Drosophila melanogaster: one gene and its partners. The protein of the gene in region 4 purifies or fractionates together with the protein of the main gene of each other region. This does not show direct contact. Each region holds a gene or a part of one and is shown on either strand. Other genes may lie near its edges.

The links.
Region 1: the proteins of Sas-4 (region 4) and gammaTub37C purify together in Drosophila melanogaster (affinity purification with western blotting, with the first as the bait; 4 studies listed by BioGRID). This does not show direct contact.
Region 2: the proteins of Sas-4 (region 4) and betaTub56D purify together in Drosophila melanogaster (affinity purification with western blotting, with the first as the bait; 2 studies listed by BioGRID). This does not show direct contact.
Region 3: the proteins of Sas-4 (region 4) and gammaTub23C purify together in Drosophila melanogaster (affinity purification with western blotting, with the first as the bait; 4 studies listed by BioGRID). This does not show direct contact.

The regions. Positions count from the first base shown.
Region 1 is NT_033779.5:19,183,316-19,187,507, reverse strand, and holds gammaTub37C (gamma-Tubulin at 37C), read left to right. Parts: upstream 1-1,781; 5' UTR 1,782-1,855; coding exon 1,856-1,904; intron 1,905-1,973; coding exon 1,974-2,176; intron 2,177-2,284; coding exon 2,285-2,875; intron 2,876-2,934; coding exon 2,935-3,465; 3' UTR 3,466-3,645; downstream 3,646-4,192. Other genes in the region: pigeon, read right to left, coding at 1-429, 488-789, 853-1,257, 1,316-1,379; CG46059 (uncharacterized protein), read left to right, coding at 4,173-4,192. UniProt on the Drosophila melanogaster protein: Tubulin is the major constituent of microtubules. The gamma chain is found at microtubule organizing centers (MTOC) such as the spindle poles or the centrosome, suggesting that it is involved in the minus-end nucleation of microtubule assembly.
Region 2 is NT_033778.4:19,446,777-19,451,306, reverse strand, and holds betaTub56D (beta-Tubulin at 56D), read left to right. Parts: upstream 1-1,707; 5' UTR 1,708-1,896; coding exon 1,897-1,980; intron 1,981-2,560; coding exon 2,561-3,847; 3' UTR 3,848-3,988; downstream 3,989-4,530. UniProt on the Drosophila melanogaster protein: Tubulin is the major constituent of microtubules, a cylinder consisting of laterally associated linear protofilaments composed of alpha- and beta-tubulin heterodimers.
Region 3 is NT_033779.5:2,970,865-2,975,377, forward strand, and holds gammaTub23C (gamma-Tubulin at 23C), read left to right. Parts: upstream 1-2,026; 5' UTR 2,027-2,194; coding exon 2,195-2,243; intron 2,244-2,301; coding exon 2,302-2,504; intron 2,505-2,564; coding exon 2,565-3,740; 3' UTR 3,741-3,994; downstream 3,995-4,513. Other genes in the region: Rrp1 (recombination repair protein 1), read right to left, coding at 1-190, 253-330, 392-1,433; CG9641 (uncharacterized protein), read right to left, coding at 4,314-4,513. UniProt on the Drosophila melanogaster protein: Tubulin is the major constituent of microtubules. The gamma chain is found at microtubule organizing centers (MTOC) such as the spindle poles or the centrosome, suggesting that it is involved in the minus-end nucleation of microtubule assembly.
Region 4 is NT_033777.3:7,149,446-7,154,774, forward strand, and holds Sas-4 (spindle assembly abnormal 4), read left to right. Parts: upstream 1-1,921; 5' UTR 1,922-1,962; coding exon 1,963-3,807; intron 3,808-3,858; coding exon 3,859-4,719; 3' UTR 4,720-4,774; downstream 4,775-5,329. Other genes in the region: CG2656 (uncharacterized protein), read left to right, coding at 1,606-1,753; gfzf (GST-containing FLYWCH zinc-finger protein), read right to left, coding at 1-187, 721-1,185; MAGE, read right to left, coding at 4,921-5,329.

The DNA of each region.
Region 1 (4,192 bases), on a different chromosome or scaffold from region 4:
CTGTGTGATATCGGGACTTCGATTGTGGGCTGCACACACGATATGGCAGTTCGGTTCGTGCTGCAGTCCCACGTCCAAGAGGTGGACAAAAAAGGCGGACGACACCAGCAAGTGATGCTGGCCGTGTAGCGCAAATGTTGGCCTCAGCAGACGGGCCTTTTGCCACGGCACACCGGGCATGACGCAGTGCACCACATAGCCGTGGTGAAGCAAAGTCACCGAGTAGGCAAAGTGCACATCCCTTTGCTCCGACTGCATCGGCTGGTACAGGTAGTAGTGACAGACGAAAAACATGCCCGAGGTGTCCGCCAGTATGATGAGATTTAGCGAACTATCGTGCACGCGCAAGGGAACCGCATCGTCATCGTAGCTTGGCGATTCCTCTTTGGAGCCATTGGGCAGCTTTGGCAAATTGAGGGGTATATTAAGCTGCAATAGAAAGATGTAACTACACCTATACGTAATACTTTAATCTTTAAGTACCTACCACTGTTTCCGTTGGCTGTTTTTCGTTAAACTGAAAGGCGGAGAGCGTGGGGCTTAAAGTAGGAGTTGTCTGCTCGCCAGCCTCCTCCCTCTCGTCCAGCAGACTGAGGCTCTTGGCCTTCGGCTTCAAGTGAATGTAATAAAGAGCCTGGCACTCGGGATCCCACTGGGCCCAGCTAAAGTTCCTGGCCAGCGTTTCGTAGGTCAGTATGCTGGTGTCTAGCCTCCAGGCGCTGCCCTCGCCTCCGCCAGTCGAGCATGTGGTGGAGCTCTGCTTGACCACGCAGCTGTACTGCTTGATGGCTAGAAAAAACAGGTACGAGCATGGGAGTTAGAGGTGGATAATGACATATACATGACACCTACATTCCTCGTGGGTGAGCACCAGTAGCTTGTCCTGCCAGCAGGTGCGCGTGGCACTCTCGACGCGCCACAGGAACTGCGTCATCATCTGGCGGTTGGAGGGCTCCGAGTTGAGGGGCGTGGCCGTGCCACCTTCGGAGCTCCTTACCTCCACGACAAAGGCCTGATAGAGCTTGCCCTCAGTTTTCTCCACGAAGGACAGCAATGTGACACTGCTGTTAATCGTTGCCTGGACGATCTCACGGCAATTGTCGAGGGTCCAAAGGAGTCGCAGCTGCTTCTTGGTGGCGTGAAAGTGGCCAATGCACGTCTCCTTGCGCTGATCCTCGTCCGCGTACTCGAATATCCAGGACGTGAGCAGAGATCCATCCTGTTCCTGGCCCAAAATGCGCCACTCGTTTGCCTTCTCTGCGATTTTTACGGACATCCATGAGGCTCGGAGTAAATTGGCGAAATACGAACTCACCTTTATAGCCCTGGCTGGCCAGGAGACCGCAGAAGTTGGCTGCCAAGTTCTCCTGCCGCAGCATTTTTATTTTTTATTCAATATTTGTACATAAACATTTGCAACGAATTTTTTCAATCAGCCTGCCAGTGTGCACGTTGCGCGCTTCTCAGAAAATAACGACTCCCGAGAACCGTTACTCGCAGCCACAGGGTGTGCTGTACAATTGAAAAAGCTAGTCCTTTAAATTTAAAAAAATAACAGTTAATGTTTTATGTAAATGAAAACATAAAAAATATATAACTATGGCTAATTTATTTGAACCTAAATATTTAAAAAAAAAATGGATCAAATCTTAATTCTAAGTATTTTCTATAAGTCCAATAACATTAAATAAATCATAAAGATTAGTAAAGAAAAATAGGTAATAACTTACTGTTGTATTGTACTTCTTGTATATCGATATTAATGACTTCCACTTCCATCTCCAGTTGGCCTTCGATGCACAGTTATTATTTACTGAGAAAGAAGCGAAATTAACTAAACTGCAATTCGAGCAAAATGCCCAGCGAGATTATAACCCTTCAATTGGGCCAATGTGGCAATCAAAGTAAGTTCTTCACGTCGAAATCGAAGTTAAGAGAAGCTCCGGCTTGATCGAGATCACTCCATTCCGCAGTTGGTTTCGAGTTCTGGAAGAGATTGTGCCTGGAGCACGGCATCTCCCCGGATGGCGTCCTGGAAGACTTCGCCACCGATGGACAGGATCGCAAGGATGTGTTCTTTTACCAGGCGGACGACAACCATTACATACCGCGGGCCGTTCTCATAGACTTAGAGCCCAGAGTCATTAACAACATCATGACCTCTCCGTACTCCAAGGTCAGTGCGGAAACTGGTCTTATTGGATCGGATTCTGATCTAATCTACTTTATTTTATGTATTTCATTTAAAAAACTATGTAGATGGATATGTGTTTCCCCTTTGCAGTTGTACAACCAGGAGAATGTGTTCCTCTCCAAGCACGGCGGTGGAGCAGGAAACAACTGGGCGTCCGGCTTTAGCCAGGGTGAGAAGGTGCAGGAGGAGGTGTTCGACATTCTGGACCGCGAGGCCGATGGCAGCGATTCGCTGGAGGGATTCGTGCTCTGCCACTCGATAGCCGGCGGAACTGGGTCCGGAATGGGCTCATATGTCCTGGAACGGCTGTCCGAACGCTTTCCCAAGAAGCTCATACAGACGTACAGCGTTTTTCCCAATCAGGACGAGATCAGCGACGTGGTTGTGCAGCCATATAACTCGATCCTTACCCTGAAGCGTTTGACCAAGTGCGCGGACAGTGTGGTGGTGCTGGATAATACCGCACTGAACCGCATCGCCACCGAAAGATTGCACATCCAAACGCCCACTTTTACGCAGATCAACAATCTGGTGTCCACCATCATGAGTCTGAGCACCACCACCCTGCGATATCCCTCGTACATGAACAACAACCTCATCGGTCTGACCGCCTCGCTCATTCCCACGCCCCAGCTGCACTTCCTGATGACGGGATATACTCCGCTAATGTCCGACTGCGAGGTATGATGATATGACATATGTAAATGGGAATGCAAATAAAAAGAGGCAACCACTTTCAGACCAAGACAAGCGTTCGAAAGACCACCGTTTTGGATGTAATGCGTCGCCTTCTGCAGCCGAAGAACATGATGGTTTCCGCGCTGACGGACAAGCAGAGCCGCCAGTGCTTCGTCTCCATACTGAACATCATCCAGGGCGAGGTGGATCCATCCCAGGTGCACAAGTCGCTGCAGCGCATCCGCGAGCGAAAGCTGGCCAACTTCATACCATGGGGTCCGGCCAGCATCCAAGTGGCTCTGCCGCGCAGCTCGCCCTATGTGCAGTCGGCCCACAAGGTATCCGGATTGATGATGGCCAATCACACGGGTATCAGTTCGCTCTTCAAGAGGGCCTTGGCCCAGTACGATAAGCTGAGGAAGCGCAACGCCTTCCTCGACAACTTTCGCCGCGAATCCATGTTCCAGGACGACCTGACCGAACTGGACATCGCACGGGACACGGTTGACTGCTTGGTGCAGGAATATGAGGCAGCCACCCAGATCGATTATCCCCAGTGGAGTCCTGCTGTCGAAGCTTCGAAAGCCGGTTAATCGATAATTATTTATAATTCAACCGTCAATACTTTTTATTTTTTTTATCAACAATAATATATGTATTTAAAATACTTTATAATCAATTTAGGAATTATAAAAGTTTCCAGGAATGATTCAACTTACATAAATCAAGCAAAAATAACTCTGAACGAGGTAGGAAGTAGTAACGATCACACCTCAACACACAAAAGTTCTGATATCAACTTTTGTGTGAAAAAAAGGGTTTTTTATTCAACTAAGGATATACAATAACTAAAATTTACTTATTCGTTAGTTAGTTTAAAGTTGGTCAACACAATCACTAATTCCACATCCACATGTATCTTGATATGTGTACATTTTTATAGTCATATTGGCTTTGATTTTTCATGTCACTTCACATTTCCCCGTAACAGACTGAGCGAAATGAATTTTCCATTCGTATTCCAAAATTCGATGTGTTAACACCTTTGAAAATAGTTTGTGTCTTACGTTTTCCGGTACCTATTTTGTTGTTTCTAAGATCCTATTTCTGTAAATAGGCCAAATGTAAGTGTTTAGTTCACATTGCATAGAGAACAATCTAATTTGGTTTAAAGTCCACTTAGCTGCCCTTTTAGAAGGAAATTAGGATACCCTGAACGCTTTTCCCCAAGACAAAATAAAATCGTAAGTGAAAACAATTTATATGATTAATTCTTAGCTTTCCTTTCACTTGGAAGATCATGTGCTGCGGACCCTGTGG
Region 2 (4,530 bases), on a different chromosome or scaffold from region 4:
CTCACACATTTGCATTTATGTATACCAAGTTGTGTGCGTGTGTGTGTCGAGTGGTCTTTTTGAGTCCCGGCATCTGTGTTTGTATATACCGCATATTTGTCCGATTTCGCAAAGATGCTTGAAAATTGTTGTTCTACTCTGGCATTTGGGGTCCAAAATTTAGAACGAAAGTTTGTTACGCCCGAATTTCCGATCGATATAATGCTTTAGGGCCATTGACATTCGCATATGTACTTCGTGCCCATATGTATGTACATATGTAAGTAATTATAGTTGGGTGTGTCTGCAATTACACCGACGCTGGTGGCTGTGTGTATGCCTGTGTGCGTGTTGCATGCATGAGTCATTTTCTCTTGGGCGAAAGACTTTCATAGTTTTTCACCGGTTGTGAAAGCCATTTCACTGCCCAGATGGTGAAGGGTACTTTTCTATCGTCAAAACACGATAGCTTTTCTACACGCACATAAGAGCTTGCTGCTCATTTGTATGTGTGAGCGTCGGCCGGTTTTTTCATTTAATTTTTTTTTTTTTGCCGCTATGCGTCTTCTAAAGAGAAAACATGACGTCATTTTAACCTAAAATGGCTGAACCGGTCGTCGTTGAACGGTTCGCAGAACGTATAAGAGTTGATCTTATACGTAGATGGGATATAAGTATGTAGATATATGTGTTCGTAGGCTGCATTAGCTGTTCTATTGATTTTCATGCATTCCACACTCTGCTCCCTACTTAAAATTGCGCTACTTCGGCGGCTTCTCTATCTTATCATGGAATGAAACAATTTTCTATTTTTTATTCATGACTATAGTATAGACAGATTTCGGTTCTCTTTCGGCCATTATGTGCCAAAATGAAACTTTACTTTTAGCAGTAGGAATTGGGAGTCTGCAAGGTGAGATGATGACCTTATATAGAGGAATTTGCCATCTGTTTGTCTCTATCCCAGTTTCCTCTCGCACACAAAAAGCAACGAAACCGAGAAGGGCGGTGCTGCACATGCGTGTGGGATAACGGGGCACAGGACACGAAGGTGATGTTGATGATGACGAATCTTTCTAGTCCTTGCCCGAAAAATCAATACCCACATGCTGGGCATGGGCCCATGAGCCGAAAACAACCCTCGGAAACGCCTTAAAACCCGAGCAGCTGCAACATCAGAATTGTTGTGCCCAAGTATGGCTCTCAATATCTCTCTCTCTCGCTTTCGACCCGACCGGCTTACAAATGTGTATTTCTATATTTATATATACACTTTATATACATAGAATCCGGTATGACGGTGTCATTTCGCTAAACGAGTGTCAACCACGCATTTCCTCCAATACCAGTGTAGCGACTTATTTCGGTTAATTGTTTTTATTTGTTTACGCGACATAAACAACGACCATCGCAAAAAGTTCAGGTGACGTAATGCCCTGAAAAACAGACGATTTATGCGCCAGATGGTCGGTAGTTGGAGCACTGAGCTGCAGTTTTAACCTCTCAGCAAACAGACAACGCCAACGCCTCTCTCCAACTGGTACCCACTGCTCCTCCCACTCCTCCTCCGTTTCCCTCTTGCAGAGACGAGAGTGGGTCGCGAGACCCGAACAACCGGTGATGTAAGCCGCATCGGAAGCAGGGGGGCTTTTTGGGGTGGCAGAGCCCGGCTCTGAGGTCGCCGGCATTGCGTGGGGGCAGCACGTAGACATATAGACAGACAGACAGATAGTAGTTATACAGCTCAGTTCCAGCCCACGCCCGAAGATTCGAGTAAGATCGGTCGGCGGAACGCAATGACAGCTGCGCCTCGAGATCCGAAACGAAAACCCACGCCAGATGACGTTATCGTTGGTGTGGCGATGGTGCTGCTGGTCGTGGTGGTGGAAACGCACCAAAAATGGCAGCGAATAAGTTATGTTAATCGGAGCTCGGCCCATACACAGAGTTTATGATGGCGTACATGGGTGGCCTAAACCACGTAGCCGAGCCCAGACATGTGTATGTACATCGGCTGCTTCTTGTGCCCATTTATTCCAATCAATAAAGAGTTATATATAGACTGACTTTCCATAACCCATCACACATTTTGTTCGAGAAGGTTTCTGTATCGAAGTTATCTGTATAAGTTAAGAGAAAAACAAGAAAATAAGATTGCCTTTCACATGCATCAACTTTCACTGGGTATGGAAGAAAAATTTTAAGCAAATTACTTGCAGAATTGGAAATGAGTTTCAGTGATTAGTAAAAGTTTTCTTCAACTGCAGTACTCTTGTGCAAATAAAAGTTACCGTTGCTTAAGCATAAACTTCTTTTGTGATTTATGTGAAGCAGTCAAATAAATACTAGCTGTATATATGTATGCAGCAGATGGTCTAGGCTTTGAGTAATTTTACTACCATTGATTTTCTGTGATGACTCATTGGCCAAGTCATTCATACATTTTCTTAAGACTGAGTTAGAAAACACCCCCTAGTAATCGATTTTCCTGCTGACTCATGTTCACAAGAAATGCTGTACAGCACCTGCAAGTCCTAATCGCACTAATCCCAAATTCTTTACTTCCATTTCTCATTTGCAGTTCTGGGAGATCATCTCCGATGAGCATGGCATCGATGCCACCGGCGCCTACCACGGTGACAGCGACCTGCAGCTGGAGCGCATCAATGTGTACTACAATGAGGCGTCCGGTGGCAAGTACGTGCCCCGCGCTGTCCTTGTCGATCTGGAGCCCGGCACCATGGACTCTGTGCGATCGGGACCTTTCGGCCAGATCTTCAGGCCCGACAACTTTGTGTTCGGCCAGTCGGGTGCCGGCAACAACTGGGCCAAGGGTCATTACACAGAGGGTGCTGAGCTGGTGGACTCAGTGCTCGATGTTGTCCGCAAGGAGGCCGAATCCTGCGACTGCCTGCAAGGCTTCCAACTCACACACTCCCTTGGCGGCGGCACTGGCTCCGGTATGGGAACCCTGCTGATTTCCAAGATCCGCGAGGAGTACCCCGACAGGATCATGAACACATACTCGGTTGTGCCGTCGCCCAAGGTGTCGGACACCGTTGTGGAGCCCTACAACGCCACCCTGTCGGTGCACCAGCTGGTCGAGAACACGGACGAGACCTACTGCATCGACAACGAGGCTCTCTACGATATCTGCTTCCGCACCCTCAAGCTGACGACACCCACATACGGTGACCTGAACCATCTTGTCTCCCTGACCATGTCCGGCGTAACCACCTGCCTCCGATTCCCCGGCCAACTGAACGCTGATCTCCGCAAGCTGGCCGTCAACATGGTGCCCTTCCCACGTCTTCACTTCTTCATGCCCGGCTTCGCTCCCCTGACCTCCCGAGGATCCCAGCAGTACCGCGCCCTCACCGTGCCCGAGCTGACCCAGCAGATGTTCGATGCCAAGAACATGATGGCCGCCTGCGACCCACGCCACGGACGCTACCTTACCGTCGCCGCCATCTTCCGTGGACGCATGTCCATGAAGGAGGTCGACGAGCAGATGCTGAACATCCAGAACAAGAACAGCTCCTACTTCGTCGAATGGATCCCCAACAACGTGAAGACCGCCGTGTGCGACATCCCGCCCCGTGGTCTGAAGATGTCCGCCACCTTCATCGGCAACTCCACTGCCATCCAGGAGCTGTTCAAGCGCATCTCCGAGCAGTTCACCGCTATGTTCAGGCGCAAGGCTTTCTTGCATTGGTACACCGGCGAGGGCATGGACGAGATGGAGTTCACCGAGGCCGAGAGCAACATGAACGATCTGGTGTCCGAGTACCAGCAGTACCAGGAGGCCACCGCCGACGAGGACGCCGAGTTCGAGGAGGAGCAGGAGGCTGAGGTCGACGAGAACTAAATTCGAATCGGAAATCAATCGAATTCTCGATCAATGTTTTGCGAAAAAAAATGAAACGAGAACAAATGAATTCAGTTGTAAAAGATTTGTTCTCTTAACAACGTAATCAATAAAGTCGGATCCAATTTTGTTCACAAGTCTAAACAATTATGGTTTTTGTTGGGGTTTCTTATAATTAATAAGAGAGATATCAATCATTTTACGAGGATTATGAGACTGCGTTTTGTAGTCCAAGAAAGCTGATTAATGTTTAGAGTGTTGGTATAAATGTTAATAGGCTCATTAATGTAGGTTTTGACAAAAGCGAGGTATTTGTACATTTTCTCATTGTATTATTTGGATTCACAAATTTATGTTTATTTAATCGGGTTTCTCCCAGCTAAAAACAATAGAAATCTTTTCACCGGCTGTGTTTGTTTTGGACATGGTTATGTTGTGATGATTGATAATTTCATTCACATTAGTTTATTTATAGACCTTTTTTATTTATTGACAATGATTTGCCCTACCTACCTCAACTTTCGAGCAAATGCTGCATAAACAAAAGTAATTCGCCCTTGAAGAGGACATGACATGATATTTTCAGCGTAGGAAGTGGGCCTACGTACCATTGTGGTTCAGACGGCCTTGTATGCAATAAATCTAATTAATATATATATATATATATATTATGGTAGTCTTAA
Region 3 (4,513 bases), on a different chromosome or scaffold from region 4:
ACAGTGGTTTTGGTCTCGGCCTTCTTGGCTTTTTTGGTGGCTGGAAAACAAAAGTTGAGCATGGTTTGCAAGCTTTTTAATACGGCAGCTCCACCGCAGCCGGATTGCTCCGCTAACATACTTTTCGATCCACTCTCCTCATCGACATCGGGTTCTTCAGCCTTCGCAGCCGCCTTTTTTCGGCCTCGAGCTGCAAATAGAATATGATTAGCGTGGCATTGATATTAAAGTTATTGTTGACAATGTGCCCACCTGGTTTACTTTCCTCTGCTGCCTCCTCAATATCTTCGACATCCTCTGCCTTGACTGGAGCCTTTTTCCGTCCTTTAGCTGCGGATTAAAGATAGTTAATCATGGTTTCATCATTTACATTGATTTGACAGTTTCCCACCTGGCTTGGTTTCAGTAGAGGGCTTGGCTTCTTCTTCAACTACACCGTTTTCCTTATCGGCGGATTTCTTCTGCTTCTTCCCGGGTGCTGGCTCCTTGCCTTCCTTCTTAGCGCGCTGTTTAGTGGGCTTTGCCTTGGTCTTTGGCTCAAGTTCTACCGCAGTCTCACCATTGGTTGTTTTCTTGGCGCGTTTCTTGGGTGCAGCTGCAGTTTTTGGAGGCGATTCCACTTCTTCTTGTACTGATTGAAAATCTCCTACAGTCTCGGGCGATGGCTCAACCATCTTTCCCTTCTTTGCTCGCTTGCTAGCAGCCTTTGGCGGCACCTCATCCACTTCCGGCTCATCGAGAGCAGCTGCGATCTCAGAATCTGCCAAACGCTTGGTTCCGCGTGCCCGCTTGGCAGCTGTCTCAGCTTTCTGCACCTTCTCTTTGCTTATTGTCCCTGGTTCAGCTTGCTCCTTTAACGTTGGTACTGCTTCCTTTCTTGCCCGTTGTTTCGGCGGCTCTGCTGCTTCCTCGGCCCCTCCATTTGCTTCTGCCGGCAGCTCCTTTCGCTTCCGTCCTTTGGCCTGGGCATTCGTTGGTTTCTCAGCCTTAGCGCGTCCCTTAGGCGGTGAAGACGTCACTTCGTCAGGAGCAGGAGTGGGCTCTTTTTTGGCACGTGGCTTAGTTGCCTTTCCAGCTGGTAGATCGACTTTGGGTTCTGGTTCTGCTTCTGCAGTTGCCTTCTTGGCGCGTCCCTTCGGCTTGGCCACCACCTCCATCTGGCCGTTTTCGTCTGTATCCTTCGGCTGCTTCTTCTTGCCACGCGCGGCTGCAGTGGGCGCCTTTTGTGGCTCGACTTCCTCGGAGTTTTCCGCAGATACAGCCGTCTTGGTGGCTTTCCTCGCGCGCGGCTTTCCTTTTGCCGGCACCTTGAGTTCCTCAGCGGCAGAGTCTGCGTTTTCGTCGACTCCATTCCCATTGGCATTTGGAGTGGGGTCAGTGGGTTCAGATGCCAACGCCTCTGCTTGTTTTTTCACGGCCTTGACACGCGGCATTATGGAGTTCTACTGCTCGGACTGATAGGTTCTCAAAAATGACTTGTATTTACTTCCACAGATTTCCAGCTTTTTCTTTTGCTTGTTTTGCAGAGCCACTGTCGCTTGGTTCAGCACCCGATATCAACAAAAAGAAAACTGCGCGGGCAACGCGATTTTTGCAAGCCGGTCGGCTTGACTTTGGTCTGCTTACAACACTATTTGTGTGCCTTCCTTGGAAAAACACGACTGTGGAGCAAATATTGCACATTGTGACGTCACTAGTAGTACAAATAGTTCGACGTCATTAGTAGTACAAAATGGGTGGAGCTCAATAACCTAATTGAAAAACTTTCTTATAGAAAATTATATTCAAGTTAAGCTTAGTATTGAACTATTAGATTGATATTCATGACATGTTTCGATCTTTCTAACTCATAGTCTTAGATTTCCAACACTTTTTTGCCTTTCCAAAATACAAAGTAGAAAAATGTAATGTTTATTTTTATTTATTTAATTCACAATAAAGGTCTTAAGTAATCATATATATTTTATAACAGAGGGCACACTGCGCCACCTTTCAAATGAGGACGCCATTAAACGCTGCGGTGTTATCAACACTGGACTTTCTTAAAATTACAAAGTACGTCCCCGCTGTGGGATTTTTTAAAAATTTTGTTATAATTCGACGATCTTTTAGTTGTGTTTTATTTTATTTCGACTAATTCGACCTTAAACGCGAAACTTCACTTGACGATTCTGGCCGGAAACAACACACCACAATGCCAAGTGAAATAATTACTTTGCAGCTTGGGCAGTGCGGCAATCAAAGTAGGTTTCTGAAATCAGGACGAGTACCATCTGCATTGCTAAAATCGTTTAAACGCAGTTGGCTTTGAGTTCTGGAAAAGATTGTGCCTGGAGCATGGCATCTCCCCTAGCGGCGTGCTGGAGGACTTTGCCAATGATGGCTTGGACCGCAAGGATGTGTTCTTCTACCAGGCGGACGACGACCACTACATACCCCGCGCGGTGCTCTTGGACTTGGAACCGAGGGTGATCAATACCATAATGGGCTCGGTCTACTCCAAGGTGAGTCCTCTCTAAATAACTTTTAATTTTTTGCGCCAAACCTACTATTAACTCCCGTAGCTCTACAATCCGGAAAATGTGTACCTATCCAAGCACGGAGGCGGTGCGGGCAACAACTGGGCCTCAGGCTATAGCCAGGGCGAAAAGCTGCAAGAAGAGGTATTCGACATCATTGACCGTGAGGCAGATGGAAGCGATTCGTTGGAGGGCTTTATACTTTGCCATTCGATTGCTGGCGGAACGGGATCGGGAATGGGCTCCTTTATCATGGAGCGCCTGGCGGACCGCTATCCCAAGAAACTTATCCAAACATTCAGTGTGTTTCCCAATCAGGACGAGATCAGTGATGTAGTGGTGCAGCCATACAACTCCATGCTCACCCTGAAACGTTTGACTACGGCTGCGGACAGTGTGGTTGTCCTGGACAACACTGCTCTTAATCGTATTGCCTGCGATCGCTTGCACATTCAGAATCCCAGCTTTTCGCAGATCAACAACCTGGTCTCCACCATAATGAGCGTCAGCACCACTACGCTGAGGTATCCATCCTACATGAACAACAATCTCATTGGGCTGACGGCTCCTTTAATCCCGACGCCCCAGCTGCATTTTCTCATGACAGGCTACACGCCGCTGACTAGCGATTCGGATATCCATACCCAGCAGCTGGTTAATGTGCGAAAGACTACTGTTCTAGATGTAATGCGGCGTCTGTTGCAGCCCAAGAACATGATGGTGTCCACTGGTCCCGACAAGTCAAATCATCACTGCTACATCTCCATTCTAAACATTATCCAGGGCGAGGTGGATCCCACTCAAGTGCACAAGTCACTGCAGCGCATCCGCGACCGCAAGATGGCCCAGTTCATTCCCTGGGGCCCCACCTCTATCCAGGTAGCCCTTTCCCGCTCATCGCCCTACGTGCAGAGCAACCATCGAGTGTCCGGACTGATGCTGGCCAACCACACCAGCATTTGCTCGCTTTTCGAGCGAGCTCTCAACCAGTATGACAAGCTTCGCAAGCGCGGCGCCTTTCTTGACCAGTTTCGACGCGAGGACATCTTCAAGGACGACCTCAATGAGCTGGACGAATCTCGCGAAACTGTTGACTGCCTGGTGCAAGAGTATGAGGCAGCCACGCGTGAGGACTACATGCAGTTTTCAGTGAAGCGGGGAAATGGGCCAGTTGACTCCAAGTCGGAGGATAGTCGATCTGTGACCAGCGCCGGTTCCTAGTTCGCTTGTGCCAGAAGAAATGCGTGCCATGCATCTTAACCAATGTATTTTAAAATGTAATATTCTCCAATGACGATGGGATTCGAAATCCTTAAGTAGTAGTGATAAGACGATTGTTGGTATGACTCGCATGTATGTAAACGCTGTTTCGTCTTTTACGATATTTAACGTTCGTATTTCCATTGTTGCAAAATTACACATGAGATTTCCCGATCATGTTTAATATGTGACACATTAAATAAAAAACAGTTTTTAAATGTGGTAGTGAGTGTTTATTGAGAAGTATATTACATATTTCTTTGGTGTATTTTATAATATGAAATCCTTATGGTTAATGTCGACTTGAGGCAGTATGAACTGATATTGCAGTGAGAATTCACTTGTGAAGCTGCACGATACTGCTGTCCTTGTTCCGTTGTCATGTCATTTCGTATGTCAAATATGTTTAGGGTGTGTTATTCAGTTTAAAATGTTCCTATTGTATTGAAGAAGAAAAGAGTTAGATATATAAAGCACATTTTATAAATCAAGGAAGTTTTTCGTTACCATGAATCCCGTTACCCATCGGCTTGCTTACAAGGAGCATGTGTCTTCATTAACCACCTCAGCGTTGCAATTCTCTTCCTCCTGATGAGGCTCTTCGCACTCCTCGCCCTCCGCTTCAGGAGTGACCTCTACATCATTGCTCTTCTCGCCCGGCTCCTCTTCAATGAACTCCACATCATCGTGTTGCTCTTCAGCTGCCTCTTCCACCTCATCATGATCTTCAGTCA
Region 4 (5,329 bases):
GATGTGCCCCCGCCAAAGTCGCCTCCGTGCAGATCCTGGCCGTGCACTCAATGTCACGCTTGCGCACACAGGTCCATCGGAATATGTCGCCCTTGTAGGATTTCCCGGCCAGGTAGTACAGATGCCCGTCGATGCAGACCATCACGCGGCCGTCGCGGCGCCGTAGCATGTACACACGATCCTTGTCCTGCGGAATTAGAGTTCGTGTTAGTCATTTTTGTGCTGTAAAATTGTATATGAATTAAAAATGGTACATCATGGGAAATCTATTTAGGTGTAAAATTAAGTTAAGTGTAAGTTCAAAAGTATTTCATTCCCTTGGATATTCCCTTCAGTAGGGTGCATGTTATAAAATGATTGGGTCCCATTTTTTTCAAAAATCCCTAATATTTAGTTTCGTTTGGAGATATATAGTATTTTTTGAATCATAAATGATTAAGCTTTGGTATTTATTGTCCTTTTAACGGCCTAGCCGGTGGATTTGCAAATAGGAAAATAAATATAAAAAACAAATTGGCGGGAAACCATCTCATTACTAAGGTGAGCAAATTAACCTTTTTTTTACATTATCAAATGTTCAAAGTAGCGGTGGTTACCGAAATATGAATCAATATTAATATCAATGTTCTTTCTGAAAAAGAGACCCAGCTAGATTCTAAATAAATGGTTGAGTTGAGTATTCAGGGGCATGAGCCAGGTACAGTTGGCCTGGGGCCGTACCTCAAAGTCCAACTGGAACGAGGCCTCCACGGTGGAGGTGTCGATGCTTCCGTAGATGAACTCCGGCGGATTCATGCCGGCGTTGGCGCGCTCGTACAGGCGTGCTCTCTTCGGCTGGGTGGTGCTGTAAGCGTCGTTCATCATCATTACGGAGAGCCGCTTGCGCTGGGCCACCTTGTTGACCTCGTGATCGCTGCAGCGCGGGTGGATGTGGGCCAGAACGACGTCCACGACGACGTGGCGCGTCTTGTCCAGCGGATCGGGCAGCATGGTGCAGATGCGGGACTTGCAGGGAGTGGACTTGTCCTTGCGCCTGTTGCACAGCCATCGGTAGGTGTTATTCCGCCCGATGCGATCGAAGTGGTACAGATAGTCGTCCACGCAGAGCATATCCACGCCCTTGGCGGAGCGCACCACGGACACCTTGGTCAGGTCCATGCCGTGCTCCTCGACGGGCGTCTCCATTTTTGAATTGGTGCGCTGTTTGGCCCGAGCCCGGAATTCAGCGTTTTTCGATTTGCCCTCGAAAAGTGTTTTGTATCGTAAATTAGGCGATTTTTTTAGTGGCTGGCTGCCTGGGATTTGTTGGTTGGGATTTTTGGTGGTATTTCGTCAGCTCACTATTTGCGCGCCTTTTTGCAAACGCCGGCCATTTACCCAAACGCACTGATTTATTGCAGTTTGATGCACTAAAAGGGTTTATATTTGGTTTTTATCACTCGATTTTAATTGCACAAGCACATTTTCTTTTGCGACGCGTCGAAAAATGCTTTTGTGTGGGATACGAGGGCTGCGAGCTATGCGGTGGCGTTGCCACTTATCAAAATCGGTTATTTTTGTGACGTTCAAAAATTGTAAATATTGATGTTTATTATTCACTTACAGTTTGGTGAGATTTTTCCCGTTGGATTCCCAGGACGAGGAGAGCGTGGGCGATCTTCTGCTACAAATTGACAGTATCTTGCAGTACGGCGAGGATGCAGACGTGAACGTTAAGGACTTTGATGAACCGGAGGAAGGGGATCAGGATTGAAAAAAATCAATTTTTCATATTGCTTAAGAAAATGTACAATATTTTATTTTTAATAAAAAATTAAATCTAATCAAAATGCATGTCTAGCACCATCCCTGACCGCAGAGTTGCCACTGGTACAGTGTTGGACAACTGCTGCCGTAATTTTAAATTCCCCTACGCGTACGGCGTCTAAACAAAACTGCGATTCTAAGAACGAATATAAAAGCATGCAGGAGGCTGGCGAAAGTCCTGTTGGAATGCCTCTGAGCCAGGAGGCCATCGCACAGCGTCTCGCGGCGCTTAGTCGTTGGCAGGACGAGCAGAAGCGGCTGCTGCAGGAGCGGCAGTCCAATCACCGCGTTTTGCTCGGCTTGGAGCAACGTAATATGTACAAAATGCTGGGACTGCTACACCAGGAAACGGAAAGCCATGAAAACAGTGTGCTGGAGGAGTGGGACGAGGAGCACTCTATACAAATGCCGCGACTCGCGGCGGATCCGGACGAGCACGAGCCAGAGATTTCAATGGCTGATCCCCAGCCGGCCAAGCCTAAACGCCCTTTTCTGCGTCGCGGCGAAGGTCTAAAGCAGCGGTTCAAGATCAATCCCGACCAGCTGCGCCTGGAAAACCTGCCGCGATACAAGTTCGCTAATGCCCACCCTCAGTTCCGCACGCCTCAAATGAAAAAGGGTATTCTCAAGAAGCAAGTCAAGTCACCTCCCAATCCTGCGCCTCCACCAGCTCCCAAACCCTCAGCACAGCTCGACGATCTCAACGAGCAGCGCTTTCAGCAGATGCTTATCGGCAAGAACGCCTGCAGTTCCACTCCAGATCTAAAGTCTTCCTATGCGTCCTCCACAACCGCCTCGAGCACCTCGCCCAGAGTTCGTTTTGTAGAGCAGAAGAGCAGGGCGGGACAAACCACTCATGCCGATGATGAAGCCTCCTCGGAAGCTAGTCCCATGACAGGAGTTTGCTGGGCCAAGGTGCTGGACACACAGAGTATAAAGCCAGCGCAAATCCAAAGACGCTCTGCTCAAATCCGAGTGGAAGATGACAGCAATGTAAGCATATTCGAGCTGCTCGAGCAGAAGGCCACTGAGGGAAACATTGATATGAACTCCAGCTGCATTCGAACCTTTATGGCGCGCAAAGATCAGCGTCGCCGAGTAGCTGATGACTCCGATCACATTGTAGTCACACAGCAGGTGCGTCAGATGCGATTGCAGCCACAGGTGGACCAGATGCTGGTGCAGGAACTGCAGGAGGGGGACGAGGAGGACACCGAACCGTCCAGCGATCAGACCCTCACAATGACACCCATCCAGGTGGGGAATACTAAAGTGCGAGTGCGTTTCTCCGACTCCAATGACACGCACGAGTACTCCGATGCCACCAGCCTCAACGACGGCTCCAATATTCAGCTCTTTGAACAGTTCAAGTCCGCCCTCTTCCAGGCATTGGAACAGAAGAAGAAGTCAAGTCCCAGCAAGGAGTCAGACGAACCCATAACCAAAGATCTTCAGGAGAAAGCCAATCTCGTTCGCACTCGCCTCGAAGAGCTGGAGACAGAGATAGCCACCTTCAAGGAGCAGAATGCCCAACTCCTTCGCCTGAGGCAGCAACACGAATTGGAGAAGGCAAAGTGCACACAGGATCACATGGAGGCCATGGAACGCGTCCATGACGAAAAGATTCAAGCTGAAATTTATCTGCACGACGAGCGCATGAAGATTGAGGAGGAACGACGCAAGTTCGAGCAGCAAATGCGACTTCAAAAGAGCAATGCAAACAGCAAGGAAAAAAAGGAGATAGCCGCCTTGAAACAGGAAGTGGAGGGACTGCAACTCCAGCTCAAACAAAAGGAGCAGGCGCATGTCTCGGCACAGGCACGACTCCGCGCTCAACTGCGGGCCAGTGAGAAGGAGCAGCGAAACTACCGTGACGAGATCGAGCTGCTGCGCAAGGAGAACAAGCGCCTAGAGCAAGAGCTGGTCAAGATTGGCCGCGAAAACAACAGCAAGATGCTGCAGGAGATCAATCGAAACATAGCCCGGCTTGCCCCCAAAGTGGTAAGTGCATGCTTGTGTGTATATCGTAATGTAACTAATGTCTTCATTTAGTTACCTTCCGCGACAATGTCCGATATCCTCGATGAGAACGGTCGGCGCACCCAATCTCTGGACGGCACTGCTGGTAAGCCTGCCAAGCAGCGAGAGGCGCAAAACCGTCGTCAGAGTAGCGGCAGTGCCCAAGTGAGAAGTCGGAGTCGCTCACTGAGCAGGAATAAGAAAACACCATACGCTCTGGATGAGAGCTACGCCTCTAGTAGTTCTGTGGAATCGGAGGAAGTTCAGCCGCCCGTGACCGCTCCGAAAGCTGCTACCCCCCCACCGGCTGCCAACTCCAGCAGTGACTTTAAGCGGGAGATTACGAATGCGGATGGGAGCAAGGACATTTGGTACCCAAACGGCAATCTAAAAAAGATAAGCGCCGATGGCATGAACTTGCGCATGCTCTATTTCAACAAGGATATCAAGGAAACTAACATCAGGGAAGGCACAGTGAAGTATTACTACGCTGAGACCAACACTTGGCACACCTCCTACCTAGATGGCTTGGAAATACTCGAGTTTCCCAACGGGCAGACGGAACATCGCCGCAAGGATGGCACTGTTGAGATTCACTTTCCCAACAACAGCATTAAGATTGTGGATCCCAGCGATACGGAGAAACTGGAGGAGTGGCGTTATGCGGATGGAACCCATCTAGTGCAGCTCCGGAATGGTGACAAGATTCTCAATCTGCCCAATGGCCAAAAGGAGATTCACACCAAACTAAACAAGCGAAGGGAGTATCCGGACGGCACTGTGAAGCTAGTGTATCCGGATGGCAGCCAAGAGACGCGCTACTCCAACGGCCGCGTTCGTTTGAAGGACAAGGATGGCAAGCTCATAATGGACACAGACTATGCCAAGTATTAGAGTCGGGTCTCTGCTTCCGTTGTTAAGTAAATTAACTTAAGTTTTAGATAAATAGAAAAGACGTGCTATTTTTAAAAGATCATCGTAATATTCTTTTCTTGCTGATAAATGGGAAATTGGCTCTATTTTAGATTATTATATATATTGTTTGGTTTTCAATTTGTTAGATCAAATGTAGTAAATTATTCATAGAATGGTATTCTACTCCGCGTTTACTCCTTCTTGGGCCATGGAGAGGTGATGGCCGAAGACCTTGGGATGCTGATTGAGCAGCTTGGAGGCGAATTGCACCATTTGCTCGAATGTGAACTCCGCCTTGGCACGTGGTCCCCAAAGGAAGAAAGTCTTGGAATCATCGTAAGCACTTAGCTGTGAGCGTTCCCGCTTCAGATATTGTTGCTTCACAAACGTCTCCTCGATCTGTTTGCGCAGATTGGGGCCGAAGTAGCCATGTTCTTCGTCTGGATAGATGTTGAGCATCTCCAGCATAACGTACAGTTTCGAGTCCTCGATGCGGTTGCCGCGCAGGAAGATGTACATGAGAATAATATACAGCAGCGTGAACTGCGGCCGTTGAGCCGGCGTCAGCTCGTGAATGGAGGCCACCGGC